Arabidopsis thaliana: one gene and its partner. The protein of the gene in region 2 interacts with the protein of the main gene of each other region in a pairwise test. Each region holds a gene or a part of one and is shown on either strand. Other genes may lie near its edges.

Evidence for each region.
Region 1: the proteins of ACA4 (region 2) and PGLCT interact in a protein complementation assay, tested with the Arabidopsis thaliana proteins (one large-scale study listed by BioGRID).

What each region holds. Positions count from the first base shown.
Region 1 is NC_003076.8:5,270,760-5,279,129, reverse strand, and holds PGLCT (plastidic GLC translocator), read right to left. Parts: upstream 6,655-8,370; 5' UTR 6,477-6,654; exon of another isoform or gene 6,236-6,476; 5' UTR 6,227-6,235; coding exon 5,971-6,226; intron 5,828-5,970; coding exon 5,713-5,827; intron 5,641-5,712; coding exon 5,573-5,640; intron 5,461-5,572; coding exon 5,328-5,460; intron 5,245-5,327; coding exon 5,145-5,244; intron 5,045-5,144; coding exon 4,932-5,044; intron 4,851-4,931; coding exon 4,757-4,850; intron 4,683-4,756; coding exon 4,529-4,682; intron 4,411-4,528; coding exon 4,264-4,410; intron 4,189-4,263; coding exon 4,115-4,188; intron 4,011-4,114; coding exon 3,922-4,010; intron 3,839-3,921; coding exon 3,724-3,838; intron 3,635-3,723; coding exon 3,452-3,634; 3' UTR 3,318-3,451; downstream 1-3,317. Other genes in the region: AT5G16170 (Core-2/I-branching beta-1,6-N-acetylglucosaminyltransferase family protein), read right to left, coding at 1-38, 629-1,204; AT5G16160 (uncharacterized protein), read left to right, coding at 2,554-2,694, 2,894-2,957, 3,038-3,191, 3,275-3,317; AT5G16140 (Peptidyl-tRNA hydrolase family protein), read left to right, coding at 7,613-7,804, 7,884-7,968, 8,052-8,119, 8,209-8,259, 8,335-8,370. UniProt on the Arabidopsis thaliana protein: May be involved in the efflux of glucose towards the cytosol.
Region 2 is NC_003071.7:17,329,661-17,341,949, forward strand, and holds ACA4 (autoinhibited Ca(2+)-ATPase), read right to left. Parts: upstream 7,833-12,289; 5' UTR 7,520-7,832; coding exon 7,349-7,519; exon of another isoform or gene 5,971-7,348; coding exon 5,916-5,970; intron 5,812-5,915; coding exon 3,878-5,811; intron 3,782-3,877; coding exon 3,626-3,781; intron 3,536-3,625; coding exon 3,364-3,535; intron 3,279-3,363; coding exon 2,980-3,278; intron 2,902-2,979; coding exon 2,596-2,901; 3' UTR 2,390-2,595; downstream 1-2,389. Other genes in the region: AT2G41550 (Rho termination factor), read right to left, coding at 1-337, 418-630, 715-902, 975-1,052, 1,134-1,170. UniProt on the Arabidopsis thaliana protein: This magnesium-dependent enzyme catalyzes the hydrolysis of ATP coupled with the translocation of calcium from the cytosol into small vacuoles.

The DNA of each region.
Region 1 (8,370 bases), on a different chromosome or scaffold from region 2:
TCTGCGTCTACCATTGATGATGTTCCCCAATACACCGGCTGATTGACAAAAAGTTTCACAAATCAACATCAATATTATTGTTAAAATAATCTTTAAAAAATTGTTTATACAAATTTAAGCCTTTTAAATTTGTTAGATTTATTGAATTTAGATTTGTTGTCGCTTTTAACTTGAAAATTAGTTAGAATATCTAGAAACTTAATAAACATAAAAAGCATTCCTACGCCCTTTTTCAGTTTATATAACATCTAGAAATTTTATATTGAGATGCATTTTGAAACTGTTCTATGTATTGTTCATTTGTTCTTACAAAAGTTGAGAATAGTCTATCTTTGAATATTATTAACATGATTAAAGAAATGTATTTATGGTAGAATAATATCAAATGGGTTCATGCCTTAATGGACCATTATGCAATTGTCGAATCAAGATCAATGCACGTGCCATGTGAAAAAACCAACCTGTCAAATCGAAGAGATATGTTTGGAAAAGTATAGTGATGTGTTTTTGGAAAACTAGTGATATAATTTCTGATTAGTAGTATACTGATCATATATAGGGGTACCTAAATAGGTTTATTTAAGAAAAGAGAAAGATATAATTAACAAACTAAAGCTGTTATTATCACCTGACTTGGGATTCTTCTTGAATAGAAGACGGAAGTTTCGGGGAAAGAATCTTGAAAAGATGGATTAGTATGAACATATATGGAATAAAACCCTTCATGTCCTTCAAAGAACTTTTCCCACAAGCCAGCCAATGGGAGTCTTCCACCTGTCATGAACATGAAAGCCACCTTCACAGCCATCTTCCCATCATTATTATGTCTCCTCCCTAACCATGATGATGACGATAAGGATGATGTTGGTGATGATAATGACGAGGCCTTGGTGAAGAGTTCTTGATCACTCATGTTGTGTTGAAGTACTTGTAGTTGCAACTCTTGTTTGATATCCATCTCTGTGGTGTGGACCGTGTGGTTGAATAATAAGGTAGACCATAAGGGTTGTCGTTGTGTCGTCGTCGTAGACATGTGTACGGCTTTTAGTTGCAGACAAAGGAAGAGACCAACCGAGAAACCGAATACAAAAAAGAGTGAGCTTAAGACATAACTTCCCTTTTGTAAGAGAATCAATCTCAAGGGCTTTGTGATCATTGGGTACTGTTCTTCTTCTTTCTTGCTCTTATGATCACTAATGCTCATTGTAGAGATAGAGAGGGAGAGGGAGAGAGAGAAAAAGAGAGAGAGAGGTTGTTGTGATCGTTAAGGATTTTGCAACCAGTTGTTATAAATGTGTTATTACAAGTTGTATAAGAAAAAACAAGGTTTTTGGAGTGTATTGGACAACGTCAAAAGGAGCTCTCTTGCAAGTTATATAAATGTATATTAAAAGAGTAGACTTTGGAACGAAGACGTGACCTGTTGACTTTTAGTTGTTCTCAGGTCAATATATGTATATAACGATCATGTGTTAGATACAAAACTTAGGTTTTAGATCTTAACATTTACACGATTTGACGAAATTTTATCTTGCCCATAGGACGGAGTGTAGTAAGAGATTGCAATTTCAAGTAAGGGTGATGATATGTTGTCAAAATAAGCTAAGGGTGGCATGTTGTCAAAATATGTTTTTTTTTCTGTTGCTGTTGAAAATATGAATATTTGAATCTAATCTTAATTTAACCGAATCACATTGAACACCTTGGTGAGAGGTGGATATAACCGAGCAGTTCTGTATTTCAAACCTATACTTGAATGATCTATTGAATTGTTTATCTGTGTGCGTGGGTTCAATTTTGTCTAATTTTTCTTTTTGAAAGTCTAACTTAAACCGAACCAATACAATAGCAAATTAAATAACTCAAACCAAAATAATATCAAATAAAAAAACTAACCTGATTACTCCAAAGTTAAGGAATTCTTCATAAATAACCTGGACGAGTTAATTATTCAAAATGTTGCAGTACTGAGATGGAAGAGAGTGCGAAATGTTCGGTGCTGACCCACAAACCATGGAAGGAACAATATTTCATGCCTAACTTTAGGTGCACTTGACGACACATTGCCAGAACCTTCTTTTTGTTGCTAAATAGTCAAATATGAAGTTTTGATTACAAAAATCATTAATACAGAGAGTAAGCGTTGCGGTCGTGATCGGCATGCTAGATTAGTGGATTTTTAAAGGTCGTAAGGTCTAATTACATTGCTTAGTCAAGGCACAAAAGTAATTAAAGACCAAGCTTGAGAGTTTTACTTGTACTCAAAGCTGTTAGACATAGACCATTTATTTTCGGCACGATCTATGATACATTAATTAAGATTTCTCATTAATATAGTAACTCACTAACGCCAAAAATTCCAAAACAATTGGGTGTAATTGATAATTAGAGAAAGTGTTAGGTCAATTATGTATTAGTTCAAAACATTCGGGTAGTTAGTTAAACTAGCATAATATTTTAGGGTAATTTCGGTATTTAATCCCCCAACAAAAAGGAAAGGAAAGTTTCCGACGTCGGTTTCTTAACATTCTCAAAGTTGCCGACGGAGAAGCCATGGCGACGACGAGGACAAACGAGGAAATTGACAGAGAAGCAGAGGAGAATCGAAAAGAAGCTCTATTAGCTTCAACACTATCTCTTCAACCCAATTTTAATCGATCCAACCTCACCCAGAAACAAATTTCCAAATTACAGGTCAGATTCTTTGCCTCGACTTTTAATGTTTCTGATCTTCAGATATCCCAATGAGATTGTAAGCACGACTTCGTATAATCATCTTGATTCGAATTTCTATCAACTGTTCAATCCAGTTTTTTTTTTTTTTCTTTCAACCGAATTACTATGTACATAGCAATTTGAATTTGAAGCCATTTTGGTTGTGTTGAGATTACAGGAGCTACACAAGAGACGTATGCAAATAAAAGCTAATGCAAAGATTCATAAGAAGAAACCTAAAGGTATATATATATTTAGCTCTCTTTTTTTGAGAATTCTCAGTTCATATTCACTAGACTAAAAGCTCTACACTGAAATGCAGCGAGCAAGAATTCTCAGAGTAAAGCGATCGAAGATGGCGAAAGCTCTAAAAAGTTGAAAGAACCAACTTCTTCTTCTTCTTCTACCTTAGAAGAACAGAATCATAACAAGACAGTAGTCACAGTACCGAAGAAGCCACAAAAACTGTTTTGGGGGTGAGCTTATTTCGCTAATTTTAGAATTCTTTTTCATATTGAGAAAACCGTGCTAATGCCATGCTTTTTTTGTTTTGAAACAGGCTAGATACCAGGGAGAGGTGGGAAAGGAAAGCCAACATGTAGTGGTCATGAAAAGATTTCTCGTTATTGATAACGTCGTCCATTGTACAATTTAAGAGTAGCAGATTAGAGAAAGACTCACAAACTAAATGATGAAACAAACTGGTTTTTGTTCTGCTGATTTCTTTTGTTTAATTTCAAGCTCCAGATGTAAGAGCAAGCTCTATTTCCTCCAGTGATCGACCTTTAGTCTCGACGACGTTTCCTGCAATGTAGAGGACCGCAAGGACGCAGACTCCAGCAAAACCCAAGTAGACACTGCTGATTCCGAATTTAGTCACAACGCTTAAGAAGTATAGTCCGATCACAAAGTTTGATATCTGTTAGGGCAAAAGAGAAACAAAACATTAGAAACAGAGAGAAGAAACTCTGTTCTGAACCCATAAAACCTATAGATATATGTATATACCCAGTGCATGCCGAGAGAAAGAGCGACGGCTTTTGCTCTGATTCGGGATGCAAATATCTCTGGAAGAAGAAGAGCCGGTACCGGGCCAGCACCAAGTGAGAATGACAGGACATATCTGATTTAAACAACCGAGCATAAGAGTCAGTCAAGTCCTATACAGAGAGACTATAAGGAAGTGTTAAGAGGAGATTGACTTACAGAACAGTTCCAACAACGGCAAGGGTTCCAGAATAGGCAGCAAGAGCCTTCCATGTGAAGGACAAGGAGAGTAACAGCATTGACAAAGCCTTTTCAATACAAAACCATAAAATCCAAGTTAGTCCTGTTGTGGTAATACTAATGAGGGTTGAGATTTTCGAATATGGCTAAGAATTTTAATAAAAACATGTACCATTCCACCAAAGCTTGTCAGTAAAAGACTTTTCCTTCCCATTTTATCCATCAACGATGAAGCAACAGCAGTGCCTGCGACCAGATTTTTATCGTGTTATTTTTTTGGTTATTTTTGGAATTTAATGAGAACATAACGGGGAAACGAACCAAAGACATTTGATGCTCCAACGAGAGCACTGGCTGCAACATCTGATTGGATTCCCGCACTACGGAATACCGATGTGGAGTAATACACAACTGCGTTTATCCCGGCTAACTGTTGAAACAAGAAGAGAGCCGCACCTACGCTTACAACTACAACAAGAACAGACAAGAAACTATGTAAATTGATCAATCCGATATGACCTTTGAAAGGAATCCGTCAGCTTTTATTACAAACTAAACAATGTATCTCCACCAAGTCTTGCTATACCTTTCCAGTAGCGGCTGCTGAATAGATCAAACCATCCTGCCTCCGGCTCAGAAGAACCTTGGCCAGAGGCTGATAAGTCGCGAACTAGTTCAACCACTCTTTCTTTACCATACAAAGTTTTGATCGCCTTTTCAGCTTCAGAGACTTTTCCTTGCTGCAAAATTGATTTCCTTGACTTGTCAAAAATTGATCTCATTTTAAGTGTTGAGATCTGTTCCTTGAGAGTACCTGAACGAGCCACCTTGGGCTTTCTGGAGAAAAAGCCATTCCTATGGCCAATAGAACGGAAGGGATAACTGCAACACCAAACATCGTCCTCCACCTAGAAGACCACGATATCAAAACTTATCACAGTATGCAACCCAAAATAAAAGATGATGAATAAAAAAGGGATGTTACATACCATAGAGGGTTTGCTGCAAGGGGTAATCCAGCTATCAAGGCTGCAAGTATTCCTATACAGATGAACAACTGGTTCACAGATCCGAGTGCTCCACGGATTTCAGTTGGTGATATCTGACAACCATCATCAAACGCTTCAGAGACATAACATATAAACAAATCTAACATCTTATGCTAAAAGTGCAAAAATAATGAAAATCAGTATTTAAACAACCTCAGATATGTAAAGTGGTACAATCGCTGATGAGATTCCAATTCCAATTCCAGCGAGCAGACGTCCCACAATCATAGTCTGCACACTCTGAGCTGTTGCACTAATCAATAAAAAAAGAACCAATGCGTTAAGAAATCAATTAACGTCTCACCAATAGGTATGGCTTAGTGCTTGAAAATTTACCATAAGAAAGCTCCAATGGCAAGCGGGATAGCATCCAATTGAAAAGTTCTTGTTCGTCCAAATTTGTCAGCTAATGCACCTCCAGTGAATGAACCTACCGTAGCACCAGCAAGCAGAGAACTAACAATCCATCCTGCTCAACACCAATCATAGAGAATACCAATTATGAGTTTGGCTACTAATCAAAACACGAATCATTTTACCGTTGACAGGAGGAGTAAAGAAGTGGATCATCATATACTTGCCTTGCAAAACAGTATTTTCGGCGATCCCAAGATCCTTAGCAAGATATTCAAGAGCACCATTAACCACCCTGATTCAGTCCAATAGAACATCATCATCCATGATCACACCAAGATAAAAACAGTGTAGTATTTAGTCATACCCGAGATGATAACCAAAGAGTATAGCACCAAGACAAGCAACACCAACAAAAGGCAAAACTGTTCCAGAGCTTTTCCCTTCAGATCTCAGAGGTATAGCTTCTTCTTCATCTCCATCTACATTTCATTCCTCAAACCATCAGATGATTAGTCCAAATCCCAAACTATACATTAGATTCTTCAAATTGTATTTAAGAACTTGTAAGCAATCACAGAATCTAATGATAGACAAAGATAGAAGAGCATTAGAAGAGACGAACCAGATGAGGCTTGAGCTCTGACCGATCGAGCTTTGACAGAAGAGAAACTCATAACGCTCTGGATCCCGTTATCAGCACGAGCAAGCGTCGCTCCCATGGCTTCAGAACCAGAACAGTAGAGTGGCCCGGTGGTGGCTAAGCTCTTATAACCAGCGAAGCGAATTCCGGTAGAAGTCGTCGATCTGTCAGAAGAGAAGGTCCGTCTCTGAAACGCAAACGCAGCGTTTCCTTTAACCGCATACGTTGACGACTGCATTTTGTCTGACTTTTTATAACCGTAATTGCAAGGAAACGAGAAATATTAGGCAAGGAAGGAAAAAAAAGGATCGCATTTATACCAAACAGAACTCAAAAAGAGAGAAGTAAGGAACGATGAAGACGCAACATCACGAAATTGGGAAATATGTTGCATTGATGCGAACGAGAGAGTAAAAACGCTCTTCTCGATCGCGGCTGATTAACAAAAATCGTGATATCCAAAGCAAAACTTCAGATTTGAAAATTACCAGAGAAACTTCGGAGACTCCGCGATTTGAGAGAGAGGATAGTGAGGGCTTAAACCAGATAGATTGTGATTGCTGAGAAGAACTCACTGTGGAGCTTATTGTCGTTTAAAAAAAAAAATTAAAACGCACCAAAAAATAAATAATGCAATTTTGTTTCCTTATTAGTTTTGGATTTTTGTGTAATAATTCATATTTATCCAAAACCATACGGAAAATAGAGTATTTTCATTTCTTATTTTAAAGAAATCATGAAATTTAATGCATGTGATGCAACTTTCAATTTTGGATTGGTAATTTTGTAATATTTGCTAGGAAATTTGAATAAATCAACCAGTATCAACTAAATCGAACTAAGTGGCGGGACTAATTAGGAAATTTTTTTGAGTTTATAAATTGAGAAAATTATTTACAATTATTATTCGACATAAATTAGTCGATAAAAGGGTAAGAAAAAAAGAAGTAAAAGAGTTACGTAAGAGCCGCAGGATTGGCGATTTGGCAACGTTGGATTTTCTGGATTAGATTTTGGATGACGTATATAGCCGCACGTGTTATTCAATAGTACTCACGTGCCGCCATTGAGCATAGTAACGGTGACGTATAAAAATCATAGTAACTTGGGCCACTATTATTTAACCCATCATTTTTGTGGGCTAATATTAGTAAGCCCATTAATACAAAACGGGACCAATTTCTAACATCTTCGTCTCAGTATTTCATCGTTCTACTTCTATCTCGTTCCAACGTCTTCGCAAAAGAAAATTCCGAAATTGTTTCGAAAAATCCTGAAGAAGAAGAGGTAAGCTATTTTCCTTCTCACTTATCCTTCTTCTACTGAAAATTTATAACATAATATAAACCACAAATACATTTTTGTGTAATCCTTGTAGCTCATTGCTAATCTCTGATTCTCCAGAAATTTTGCTGAGTCCTCTGTTCGATTACACTTCAATTATTTTTTATCTGCGCTGTATCTCTGTTAATGGGTTTCATTAAGTTTTGATTCTCAGTTGTTATATGATTTCGAATTTCATTATATCCTGAAAAGCTTTTATCTTTATGTATATTCCAAGTATTGAATCTCAAAGTTTCTAGTCATTTCAATTTCAATAGGTCTTTGAATCAACAACAGTTCCATGTTGTGCCCAACGTATACACCAAGTGTTTACCATTTTCAAACGCAAAAGCCAGTTTTCCGGAAACAGAGGTTTCGGGTTTGTTCATCTACTTCTGGTGGTGAGGATGATAGATTCAAAGTAGAGTACACTCCTTGGCTTATCGTTGGGTTGGGCAATCCAGGAAACAAGTATCATGGAACAAGACACAATGTAATGATACACAATCTTTTTCTTTTACTTAATTGCTGGATTTGATCTTGGCAATGCTACAACTTTGTGTTGTTTTCAGGTTGGTTTCGAGATGATCGATGTGTTGGCTAGAAAAGAAGGGGTGTTGATGAACACTATACAGTCCAAAGCTCTAATCGGAATAGGTTCTACTTCTCTTGCTTTGGTTCTTTGGTTTGAAGAATAATAAAACTGATGACTTTTTGGTTCTATGTATGAATCAGTACAGGTGCTATTGAAGATGTACCTATCTTGTTGGCTAAACCTCAGACTTATATGAACTTCAGCGGCGAATCGGTTTGTATTTTCTGTTCATAACTTTGCAAAGATCAGCTGCGTGATCAAATAATCATCATACCTGAAACTGTTCTGTTGTCGTTTTAAAGGTTGGATCTCTAGCTTCACACTATCGAGTACCATTGCGCCACATTTTAATGGTAAAGTCACTGACTTAAGCATCCCTTGAATCCAGAACTATGTTCCATATGAACACTTTTGTTTCTCTCTACTAGATTTACGATGAGATGGCTTTACCAAATGGGGTTTTG
Region 2 (12,289 bases):
TGTCCGGTTCATCACACATTTCTAAGAGAGACTCTGTGGTAAAAGGTTCCGAAACAGTTACAATGTCTTGCAAGCTATCGTTTTGCTGGTGATCCTTCAATATATCTCCATCTTCGTCTGTAGTATTTGCCTTCTCCCGGGTCTCTAAATGCAATGGTCTCAGTGTGGAACCTCCAATACTCTCACGGCTTATAGCAGATGAAGATTTGTTCTCGAGGGCTTGCTTTATAGGATCAAAGACTTGGTCAGTAACCAAGGATGAACAAGAATGTTCTTCAGCTTCGTCAATCTTGCTTTCCAACACAGGGCTAGAAGAGGTATCTGCATCTTCTGCAACCTATCATAAAAAAAACACAAAGTTCCATGATACAAGATTCCCATGGATGCATGACAAAGGATTAAGAAAACTCGACAGACCTCAACTGTTAGTGGATCATTAGCTGCTGTCTCATGAGGCATCAATCTTGTTTCAGGCTCTATATCTTCAGTGTCGTCGTTACTAGAATCTCTGATCTGAACAGTTTGAGCAGTCTGAGCATCGCTGATACTAGAAGTGTTTTCGTCGTCATCAAGAGCCAGTTTAGCAGAACTAGTATCAGAATCTGGAAGAGTAGTACTGAGAGTCTTATCCTGTAGAAGACATAACAAGTTACTCCTAGTCAAAATCTGTAGTGAATACAAAATCAAAATCAAATATTTCTTAAAGTCTCTTACAGAATCAGAAGAGTCTATCTCATGCAAGTCACCACCACTCCCAGAGGAAGCCGTATCATTTTGAGCCGATACTGAAACTGAAACCCTCTCAAGCTCAGCAATTTCAGTAACTTGCCTCTTCTTCTCTGTCAATATCCTCCAAACTAGCTCACAATACTTTTCGTTCTGGAAATTTTCTTCGAGCACATCTAAAAAAAGCAACAAACGATTGTTCTCAAAAGAGAATCATAACAACAATTAAACCAAAATCCAGTGTATACCTGTTCTGAAATCGAACCAAAATTCACAACGACGTACGGTCTGTTTACGAAAGGTATCGTCTTGCACAACTACAAAAACTAAAAGAACACAAACTTTGCATCATCAAGACCAAAAAAAAAAAAAACAGTAGATACCATAATTGATCCAACCAGATTTACCTCGTGGCGGACCCCAGAGATCATCATCATCATCCATGGTGGTCACTCACTACGATAAGCCTCAAAATTCATTCTGTAAAAAAAAATCAGCCTTTTCACCCACATTTCCAAAATCTCCAAAGCAATTCTCACTAAGAAGCACAATCACAAGAACACCCAAAGTTCTAACCATACCGTTGTGAGCTTCGTCGATGGATCTTCCAGAAATTAAGCGTTTTTCTAGGGTTTGAAGAAGGTCGGCGAGAGAATTTAGTGAGAGAGAGAAAAAAAAAGGCTGGCAGTGAAAGCGACGAACAAAACACTCTGCAGTATTTAGAGTAGAGTGTAGAGAGAGAGAAAGAGGTCGGTTCAAACGGTGAACGGGTTTGCTACAAATGGATAAACCAACGGAGGCGCGTGGATACCAAACTAAGCCGTTTTATTAACTCATGGGGACCACTCTTCGTCCAACTGAAAATCTCAACCGTCAGATTCATTGACTTTTATTTGACTCGTACTGTATAAATGCGAATATATGTTCCTGTGTTTTCGAGTTACTGTACACTCTCCAGATTCTGCCTTTTTCATCGGACGGCTAGGAGTAAATGACGAGTCAGATGGCACAATCGTAATAAAGTGGAAAACCGAAGGGTCCCGCTATTCTTTTGCTTATTGAACTTAACATCTGAGAGTGACGTCCGTACAGTTATTGCTTTTCCAAAGATTTCATACGCGTGACCAACTTCTTTAACTTCAATAAATAAATGAAAGTGTCGAAAAGTTTCAAGTAAATTATGCATGAATATTTTACTTTTATAAAAGCATTTTAAGGAAAGTTGGTGTTCTTTTTTGTTTTTGTTAAAGTTTCATGTATTGGAGAAGCAAAGTTGGTGTTCTTTCCATCTTTTTCCGATGTTTTATTTACGTGTATATACAGAAACGAAAGCTTCATGTACATTGATGTGAGATAGAGGAAAATTCTTCTATTTTATTATGCTATATGATTTGATTTAACATGTCATCCAGAGAATAATATGTCATTCTATTTTCACAATTGCGTTTTATTATGTTTATACTTTACGTAAGCGTTCTGATTCAACATTATAGACTCACCTACGACAAGGATAAATACTGGCATTATACATGTCACAAATCTAATTAGATGCTACTATAACTTTTATCAAAAACAATATAGATTTATATTTATACGAAAAAAGGTAGATGTTCTGATCATAAATTCTTGAGAATCTACTAATCAAAGCATCTCTCTAGATTTTCTAATACTTAGCACAGCTCTTGATAGATAACATTCAATTAAAATGCAAAATTTATTGCAAAATCGTATTAGAGTATTGGAGTAAGTCGAAAACAAAATTCCATTCGTGGTATAAAAAAAAAGAATTTGAAGTAGCAAAAATAGAAAACTTACATATTTGTGTACTCCTACCCGGAAAACAAAAAAAAAGTGAACATAGAAACGGTATCAGGCAGAGTTGGAAGAAGAAGGACCAGAAGGAAGCAGGTCGTAGCCATCGTGATGGTGACGAGACTCGACAGGTACGCATTTGAGGATAACGGCTACAATCATGTTCAATGATCCTATCAAGATTGATAGTAACCAATGTTGCCAGCTCAGAGGAACGGTGCTAGCAAATGCTCCAAGAAACTCCACTATGATCACTTGAAACACTACCGTCACAGTCATTACCCAAGTGAACACCCAGCTATTGAACATTCCTTTGAACACATTTATCTTCTCTATTTCCCGGCTATTGATCTCATTGAACACCTGTTTGTACACCGTTTGATTCTCTTGTTACTTATCTTTTATATAAGAGTTGGGTTGGTTTTTGTTTGCGAATGGTACCTGGCAAAAGACGAAGGAGTTGAAGATGACTGTGTTAAGAACGGCTGTGGAGTCAGGGCCATCTAGTTTGAGAAGTGATTTGCCTGCGAAATTGAGAATTCCTAAGACAATCAACTGGTAAACGCTTTGACCAGCGATGTTTCTCCACATGGTTTTGGTGATAAAGCTGGCGGTTCTAGCTATTGGTGCACGTTTCATTAAACCTTCATTGGGAGGTTCTGTTGCTAGAGCCAATGCACCAAGTGTGTCCATGATCATGTTGACCCAAAGCAGTTGCACAGCAGTGAGTGGAGCAGATCCTGGAAAAGAAACCAAAAGAAATGGTTACTATATTTGACCAAACGCTAGAAGAAAGATGGTGTTTGATTGGTTTTTCTGTCGTACCTGTGATGCAAGCAGAGACAAAGTTGATGATCAGAGCAACCACATTAACAGTTAGCTGGAACTGAACAAACTTCTGAATGTTTATATATACAGCACGTCCCCATCTAGCCACATTTACTATTGTTTTGAAGTTATCGTCCATTATGATCACATCAGCATTCTCTTTCGCAACCTGCATATCGGGAATTAGCACCAAACGAAAATGTTAATCTCGAGATTTTTTTATTAACCAAACCAATAACAGAGAATAACTATAGCTTACCTCTGTTCCAGCTATTCCCATTGCTAGTCCAATGTCTGCCTCATGCAACGCAGGGGCATCGTTTGTCCCATCCCCTGTCACTGCAACTACCTCTCCAATTTTCCTCAAGTTGCTGACTAAAGTATGTTTGTCCAATGGCAGAGACCGAGCCATTACCTAAAGGCAGAAACAAGGAATTTTAGAGATACTTAAACATTTTCAATAGACAGATAAACAATAACAATTCATTCTATCTATCATATATCAAAGGACCTGAATTTTGGGGATAATGGCCCTCATTTCGTGAGGAGACAAGTCCCGGAATTCTGAACCTTCTATAGCTAAGCCTCCTTCGGTATATATGCCACATTCCTTAGCAATTGCTTTGGCTGTGCTTATGTTATCTCCAGTGACCATACGGACGGTGATTCCGGCAGCTTGACAAGTCTGAACGGCTTCCCTAACACCCGGACGTACTGGATCCTTGATTCCAACAACTGCTACCATTGTATAGCCTCCATCAGGGAGCTCTCCACTGGGAGCTTCATCTAGATCTTTGTAAACCAAGCAGAGAGTCCTCAGAGCCTCTGAGGCAAAACCCTCTATGATATCAGAGATACTCGTAATCCGTTCTTCAGTTAGCGGAACCGATTCTCCGTTTGAATCCACAACATTCTCACACATTTTCAACACTATTTCAGATGCCCCTTTGCAGAAAGCCCGTGCACCACCTCCAGGAAGAGCTATAAGAACAGACATTTTCTTCTTGTCTGAATTGAACGGCTCAATCTTGAGTATCTTATGCTCTTTACGCTGCGTGTTAAAATCACCACCTAAAAGTAAACCGAATTCGAGTATTGCTCTTTCTGTCGGGGATCCTAGGATCTGAGTGTTTCCATCTTTATCCTTAACAACTTCCGAACCAGTGTTCTGAAATATACCCTGCAAAAGAGTGCTCTGAACTTCTTCCGATAGTTCCAACTCAAAGCTTTCTTTACTTCCCTCTTGCCTCTCTTGAACCTTATCACAGATCCATACTTTGTTGACCACCATGTGATTAGTAGTTAAGGTCCCTGTCTTATCAGTGCAGATGCAAGTAGAAGAACCCATAGTCTCACATGCAGCAAGATGCCTCACAAGTGCCCTGTCACTCATCAGCTTCTTCATAGCAAATGCCAAACTTAAGGTCACTGCCAGTGGCAAACCTTCGGGCACGGCAACGACAATGATAGTTACAGAAATTGCAAAGTAGTCAAGTAGCGTCAATGCATCTTCAGATGACCAGTTGGTGAAGCTACCAGACGTTGCTTTGTCCAAGACAAACCTTATGCACAATACCACAAATGTAAGCACAGCAAAGCTTAAACCAATCTTACCAATGATTGTTGCAACCCCATTTAGCTTCACCTGCAGAGGCGTCTCATCTTCTCCACCATCAACCAGCGTTTCCATCAACTTTCCCCACTCAGTCCTCATACCAACTGTTGTCACCAGCATTTTTGCAGAACCGTTTTGTACTTTGGTTCCTGAAAGCAGAAAAGGCTTCTCTTTATTCACATGTGACGGTTCACTCTCACCCGATAAGCTTGACTCGTCTATCTCCAAGTTGTATCCAGATATAAAAATCCCATCAGCTGGAACTTGATCCCCAATAGATAGATGAACTACATCTCCAACGACCAAGTCATGAATGGAGATTTCTTGTCTGCTCCCATCTCTGGTGACCTGGACAATAATCTTCTTCTTCTCTCGATCCAAGTCTCTGAACTGCAAAGATTGCTTGTAATCACTGATCGCAGTAACCATGACCACCAAGAGTATACTTAGCAAGATCCCTGTCCCATCATACATTCCCCTTGGAAATCCTTCTGTAGCAACACCCACACCTATTGATACTACAGCGCAGACCATAAGAATGATAAGGGTTATGTCGTGGAGCGCTTCCCACACAAACATTAAGAATGATCTGGCTGGTTTCTCAGTATAACGATTTTCTCCAAATATCTTTTCCCTAATGGGCACTTCACTCGAACGAATGCCTTCAGAGAGAGATACAGATACTTTTTTAGCAAGTTCTTCAACTCCACCTTTCTGTGCCAGGCTCTTAGTGTCATTTTTGCGAACCATAGATGCAAGTTCATCTGCTTCAATAGAAAATCCGGCTTTCTTAACCTCATCAGTGAGCTTGTATTCCGGCCTAGCAGCAGCTAGAGAAAAATACAAATAAGAAAAGAAAAGTTTACATAACCATAGAAAGTAGAAACCAAGTCGCCTTCATACATCTCTCAAAAAATGCAGCTGCATATCTTACCATCAATGAAATGAAGAGCTGCCTTTTGAACAAAGAAAGCAACTCGGATCTTTTCCTGATAATGAGTACAGACAGTGAGCTAATAGATAAAACAGCACAACATAGGAATATTTGGTCATACATGAAACTGAAGAAAGAACAAACGGTTTCTGTGGTGCAATCATCATAAGCCGGACAAATTAGTAAAAAGATCCATCACCCATTGCTTGCTTAAATTTTCATTTTGCTTTTTAAAGACAGAATGGTTCTGAAACACCATTGGAACGTCAATTATATCACTGATCTTACAAAAGAGAAATAAAGCTAATGTAGCTGAAATATCTTTGGTAACAAAGGTTAACATAACATCTATGTGCTAATCATTCCCCCCGGCCACAGTGAAGAACATTTTAAGTTAAAGCTGCAATTTCTTTGACTCAACAGTTAGGTTATAAAACAATTTGCTTTATTTATAAAAAGACTGAAAAGTGATTCGATTTCAATGCGAATAAGTAGAGACCAAAAAGGAAAAAGAAGAAAAGACAATGAGCTCATCATATCCACAAGAATCCCATAAAAATGCTTCTTTATTTGGTTTGTGCAAGTGGAAAGAACCTTATGAAAATACACCTGGCCAAGTTTCCGTGTGTAACGTCCTTAAGCTAATAATTTATTGCACACAAGAAGTCCTCGTACCATAAGTCAAATTTGAATTTAAGTTAAAGAAAAACTGGTATCAAAAAGCTAAGAAGTCTTGAAACTGAAATTTCGTCCTTTGGTGTTTGGATTCAGTCGCTAAGAAGAGAAAAAAACTCAAAAAAAAAAAAAAAGGGTCAGACTTTTGCTGGCCTCTCAAGATTGGCTCATCTTCCTAGTAGCGACAAGAAATTATCCAATTTGTAAACACAGTAGAGGACACACACTCAAGCAAAGATACAACTTGATGTCAGCATCATGTGTGGTGCCACTTGAATTATTTTTTTCTTCGGTTTCCGCAATTGAACAAAAAAGATAACGCTCCAAAAGAATAATAATTTCATCCTTTAGATATTTTACCATATCATCCTTTGATTCATATTTCTCTAGAGTTTGTATTAGCAAATTGCAAAATTTTAATGTGTATTTTGAATCTTTGATTACACATAGCATCGAGAAAAAAAGAGTTTTAAGTTCATGAATTAAAAAAAAAGTTTCGTATGCAAAAGTGTGGATTAGACTATGAAAAAAAACAAGTAACGCCTTTCTGATAAAGTCCTTTTGTACGGATCATCAATGGCAGAAAAAAAAGCTTAACAGGGTCAACCATTATCAATTCCTTCTTCAAAAGGTTTTAACTTTTAAGTATCACAATGAATAATTTTCTATAAAACCTTTTAACCAAGAAAATCAAAATCATACTCACAGCAAAAAAAAAAACTGAATAATAGAGATAGAGAAACCAAAGAAATAGGAACCTGGATCTGGTGCTTCTTGTTCTCGTAGTCAGCGAGCTTATCGAGATCCCGAATGTTACGGAAACGACGAGTACGGTTCTTCACGATAGACACGGACGACCTCCATCTTTGACGCGCTTCCAGCGACGGATTCTTAGCCTCCACCTCGAAATCCCTTAGCAAGTTCGACATTTCTCACGCTCTCACTACCACTCTCTGTTTTCACAGAGACAAACTTCGCCGGCGCGAAGGCAGCTGAGAGAGAGAGAGAGAGGATTGAGCAACGGATTGGTGTGAGAGTTGCTTTTTATGGAATACCCAAACCCGACCCGAATTACTCGGATTTTATGCTCGGATAGGGCCCATTCATTCAAATTTCATTTTCGTCTCATTCGGATAATTAGTAGGCAACCAAATCAAATGATCCGACCCAGACGAATATTATTAGGTCCATAAACATGCTCTTTTTTTTTTTTCCTTATAGTATTACTTTTGCGTCTTTCAATTAGATACCTCATACCTCAATCCTCAAAAAAAACTCTCTGTTCTCTTTTTTAGGAGGTCGTTTTTGGATAATACTTTGCTCGCCGTAATTAACGCCGTCCCGTCAAATTGGGCTTAAGAACTTCTCCCTCAAATCATCGATTCTAATAGAGCGGAGCCAGGATCAGAAGAATCTTCGATTACCTTTTGTCAGTTTTGAGTTCAGCTGTTGCCTTGAAAATCTTTCTCTCTTCTATTCTATTGGGATGAGTATGGATTTGGATCAAGCGATTCAAGAGATGTCAATCAAAGATGAGGAACCACTTGTTTTGTCAAACCAAGCTCAGTTTTGTTCGATTGAAAGGAATACTTGCAGTATCTTAGGAAGATTTCTGAACCCTTCTAATCAAAGGATGTCTAATTGGATTTTAGACATGCCTAGAATTTGGAGATTGTATTCCAGGGTTCGTGGTGTTGCTTTATCTCAAGAAAGGTTTCAATTTTTCTTTAAATCAGAGGATGATCTATTGGAAATTTTGAAAACAGGAGTGTGGACTCAGGATGAATGGTGTGTAGTGATGGAACGTTGGATTGAGAAGTCGACGGAAGAGTATCTGATGTTTCTTCCGGTGTGGATGAGGCTGAGAAATATTCCAGTTAACTACTACACACAGGACACAATAAAAAAGATAGCATCTTGTGTGGGGAAAGTTTTAAAGGTGGAACTTGACTTAGAGAAGTCTCAAGCACAAGACTATATCAGAGTTCAGGTTATCATCGATGTTAGGAACCCTTTAAGGAACTTTAAAGAGATTCAGCTTCCAACGGGTGAAATAGTTTCTGTGACTTTTGATTATGAACGAATTAGGAAGAGATGCTTCCTATGCCAACGACTAACTCATGAGAAAGGTGATTGTGATTCTGGTCGGCCAGGAAAATCGTCAGTCATGGATGGGTTTCAAAGGTCTTTTTTTGAGAAAAAAGAGGATAAAGAAAAGTCTGATCTTAGGTTTCCACAATCAAATCATCCCCTTCCTAGTTCAGATTTAGATAGGATAGAAGGAAACAGTGCTTTGTCAACAAAGACAAACCTTCTGAATTCAAGAATCATGTCGTCTACACCTTCAGAGGTACAGTCTACTGGTTTAGTGGAAAAGATTCGAAAAGAAGCTAAAGAGAGTCAGGAACACGAGAAGGCTTATCAAGAAGACTGTTCTAAAGGAATTATTCTGGATTTGGATCTGGATTTGGATCAGGGATTCAACTCTGCCTTAAATGAAGCGTGCTCATCAGGTTTAAGTTCTAGACAGAAAAATCCAAGGAAAAGAAAAGCAGTTGTGATCCGTAAGAAATTGGACTCTCTGGAGCCTAGTGAGAAAGCTATTGATACAGAGGTTAGTAAAATCTTTGAATTTCCTAATGTTTTCAAAAGGAAAAAGGATTTGGTTGCTTCTGTTAAATCTGAATGTAGCAAGGATGTTAAGGAAACGGTGGTTCATGATGAACCACCGCAGTATCAGTAAGGCATCCTTAGCTGGAATTGCCAAGGCTTGAGGAATCCTTGGACAATTCGGTATCTAAAGGAAATGAAGAAAGATCATTTCCCAGACATGTTATTCCTCATGGAGACCATGAATTCTGATCAGTTCATTATGAAAATATTCAGATGGTTAGGCTATGATTATTTTCACTCTATTGAACCGATTGGAAAGAGTGGTGGTTTGGCAATCTTTTGGAAACAACACTTGGAGATAGAGTTTTTGTTTGAAGATAAGAATTTACTGGATATGAAGGTTTCTCAGGATAGTAAAAGCTGGTTTGTTTCTTGTGTTTATGGAAATCCCAAACAGCATCTTAGATATACCCTTTTGGACAGATTAAAGGAGATAGGTTTGACAAGAAAATCAGCTTGGTGTATGATCGGAGATTTTAATGATATTCTATCTAACAAAGAAAAAATAGGTGGTCCTAAGAGATTAGAATCTTCCTTTCAGGATTTTCAGGATATGATTTTTGCTTGTGATCTACATGTGATGGGGAGTACAGGGAATAGTTATTCCTGGGGTGGAACTAGGAATAATGAATGGATCCAATGTAAATTAGTTCGATGTTTTGGGAACTCATAATGGTTTGCTTTGTTTCCAAACTCTCACCAATGGTTTCTTGAAAGACTAGGTTCTGATCATCGACCAGTTCTGGTTAAATTTGTGAATGATCAGGAAGTCTTCAGGGGTCAATTCAGATTTGACAAACGGTTTATTGAGGATCCTAATTGTGCTGCAGCTATTCTCGTTTCTTGGAATGGTTTTCTGGATAATCAATCTTCTTCAGTTATGCTTCGTCTAGTGGAATGTAGGAAAGCCATTAGCCAGTGGAAAAGAGAGAATGATTTTAATGCCAAAAGTCGGATTACAAAATTACGAAGGGAGTTAGATAAAGAGAAAAGTGCTACCTTCCCATCATGGACGCAGATTTCTCTTCTTCAAGATGTCCTTGGTGATGCTTATAGAGAGGAAGAAGATTTTTGGAGATTAAAAAGCAGGGATAAATGGATGGTTGGTGGAGACAAGAATTCTAAGTTTTTTCAGGCAACAGTAAAAGCCAATAGAGTATCAAATTCTCTGAGATTCTTGGTAGATGAGAATGGCAATGAACAAACAGTCAATAGGGAGAAAGGAAAAATTGCAGTGACTTTCTTTGAAGATTTATTTTCTTCATCTTACCCTTCTTCAATGGATTCAGTGTTAGAAGGTTTTAACAAAAGAGTTACAGAAGATATGAATCAAGACCTCACAAAAAAAGTCAATGAACAAGAAATTTACAAAGCTGTCTTTTCTATCAATGCTGAGAGTGCACCAGGTCCTGATGGCTTCACTGCTCTTTTTTTCCAAAGGCAATGGCCTTTGGTCAAGAATCAGATTATTTCAGATATAGAGCTTTTCTTTCAGACAGGTATTCTCCCTGAAGACTGGAACCATACACACTTATGTCTGATTCCAAAGATAACAAAACCAGCTAGAATGGCGGATATTCGTCCAATCAGCCTATGCTCAGTCATGTATAAGATTATCTCAAAAATTTTATCTGCTAGACTCAAGAAATATCTTCCAGTCATAGTCTCACCAACTCAATCGGCTTTTGTGGCAGAGAGGTTAGTTTCTGATAATATCATTCTTGCACATGAAATTGTTCATAACCTCAGAACTAATGAGAAGATCTCAAAGGATTTCATGGTCTTTAAAACGGACATGTCAAAAGCTTATGACAGAGTAGAATGGCCATTTCTTAAAGGAATCCTTTTGGCTTTGGGGTTTAACAGTACTTGGATAAATTGGATGATGGCTTGTGTATCTTCAGTGTCTTATTCAGTTCTGATTAATGGTCAGCCATTTGGTCATATTACTCCTCATAGAGGTTTACGACAAGGTGACCCGTTATCACCATTTCTGTTTGTGTTATGCACAGAGGCTTTGATTCACATCCTAAATCAGGCAGAAAAAATTGGGAAAATTTCTGGAATTCAGTTTAATGGAACCGGACCATCTGTCAATCATTTACTGTTTGCTGATGATACACTATTAATTTGCAAGGCTTCTCAGTTAGAATGTGCAGAGATCATGCATTGTCTGTCACAATATGGACATATTTCAGGGCAGATGATCAATTCGGAGAAATCAGCTATCACTTTTGGGGCTAAGGTGAATGAGGAAACAAAACAATGGATCATGAATAGATCAGGCATCCAAACAGAAGGAGGAACTGGGAAATACTTGGGACTCCCAGAATGTTTTCAAGGCTCTAAACAAGTTCTTTTTGGATTCATCAAGGAGAAACTCCAATCTAGACTTTCGGGTTGGTATGCGAAAACCTTATCTCAAGGAGGGAAAGATATTCTGTTAAAATCCATAGCTATGGCATTTCCTGTGTATGCAATGACCTGTTTCAGGTTATCAAAGACTCTATGCACAAAGCTAACTAGTGTTATGATGGATTTCTGGTGGAATTCTGTTCAAGATAAGAAGAAAATACATTGGATTGGAGCTCAAAAATTAATGCTACCTAAATTCCTTGGAGGATTTGGATTCAAAGATCTACAGTGTTTTAACCAAGCCCTGCTAGCTAAACAAGCCTCGAGACTTCACACAGATTCAGATAGTCTATTATCTCAGATTCTCAAAAGCAGATACTATATGAATTCAGATTTTCTCTCGGCTACAAAAGGTACTAGACCCTCTTATGCCTGGCAAAGTATATTATATGGCAGGGAGTTACTAGTTTCAGGCCTGAAAAAGATTATTGGAAATGGAGAAAACACTTATGTCTGGATGGATAACTGGATTTTCGATGATAAACCTAGAAGACCAGAAAGTCTGCAGATTATGGTTGATATTCAATTGAAAGTGAGTCAACTTATTGATCCTTTTTCTAGGAATTGGAATTTGAATATGCTTAGAGACTTATTTCCTTGGAAAGAGATAC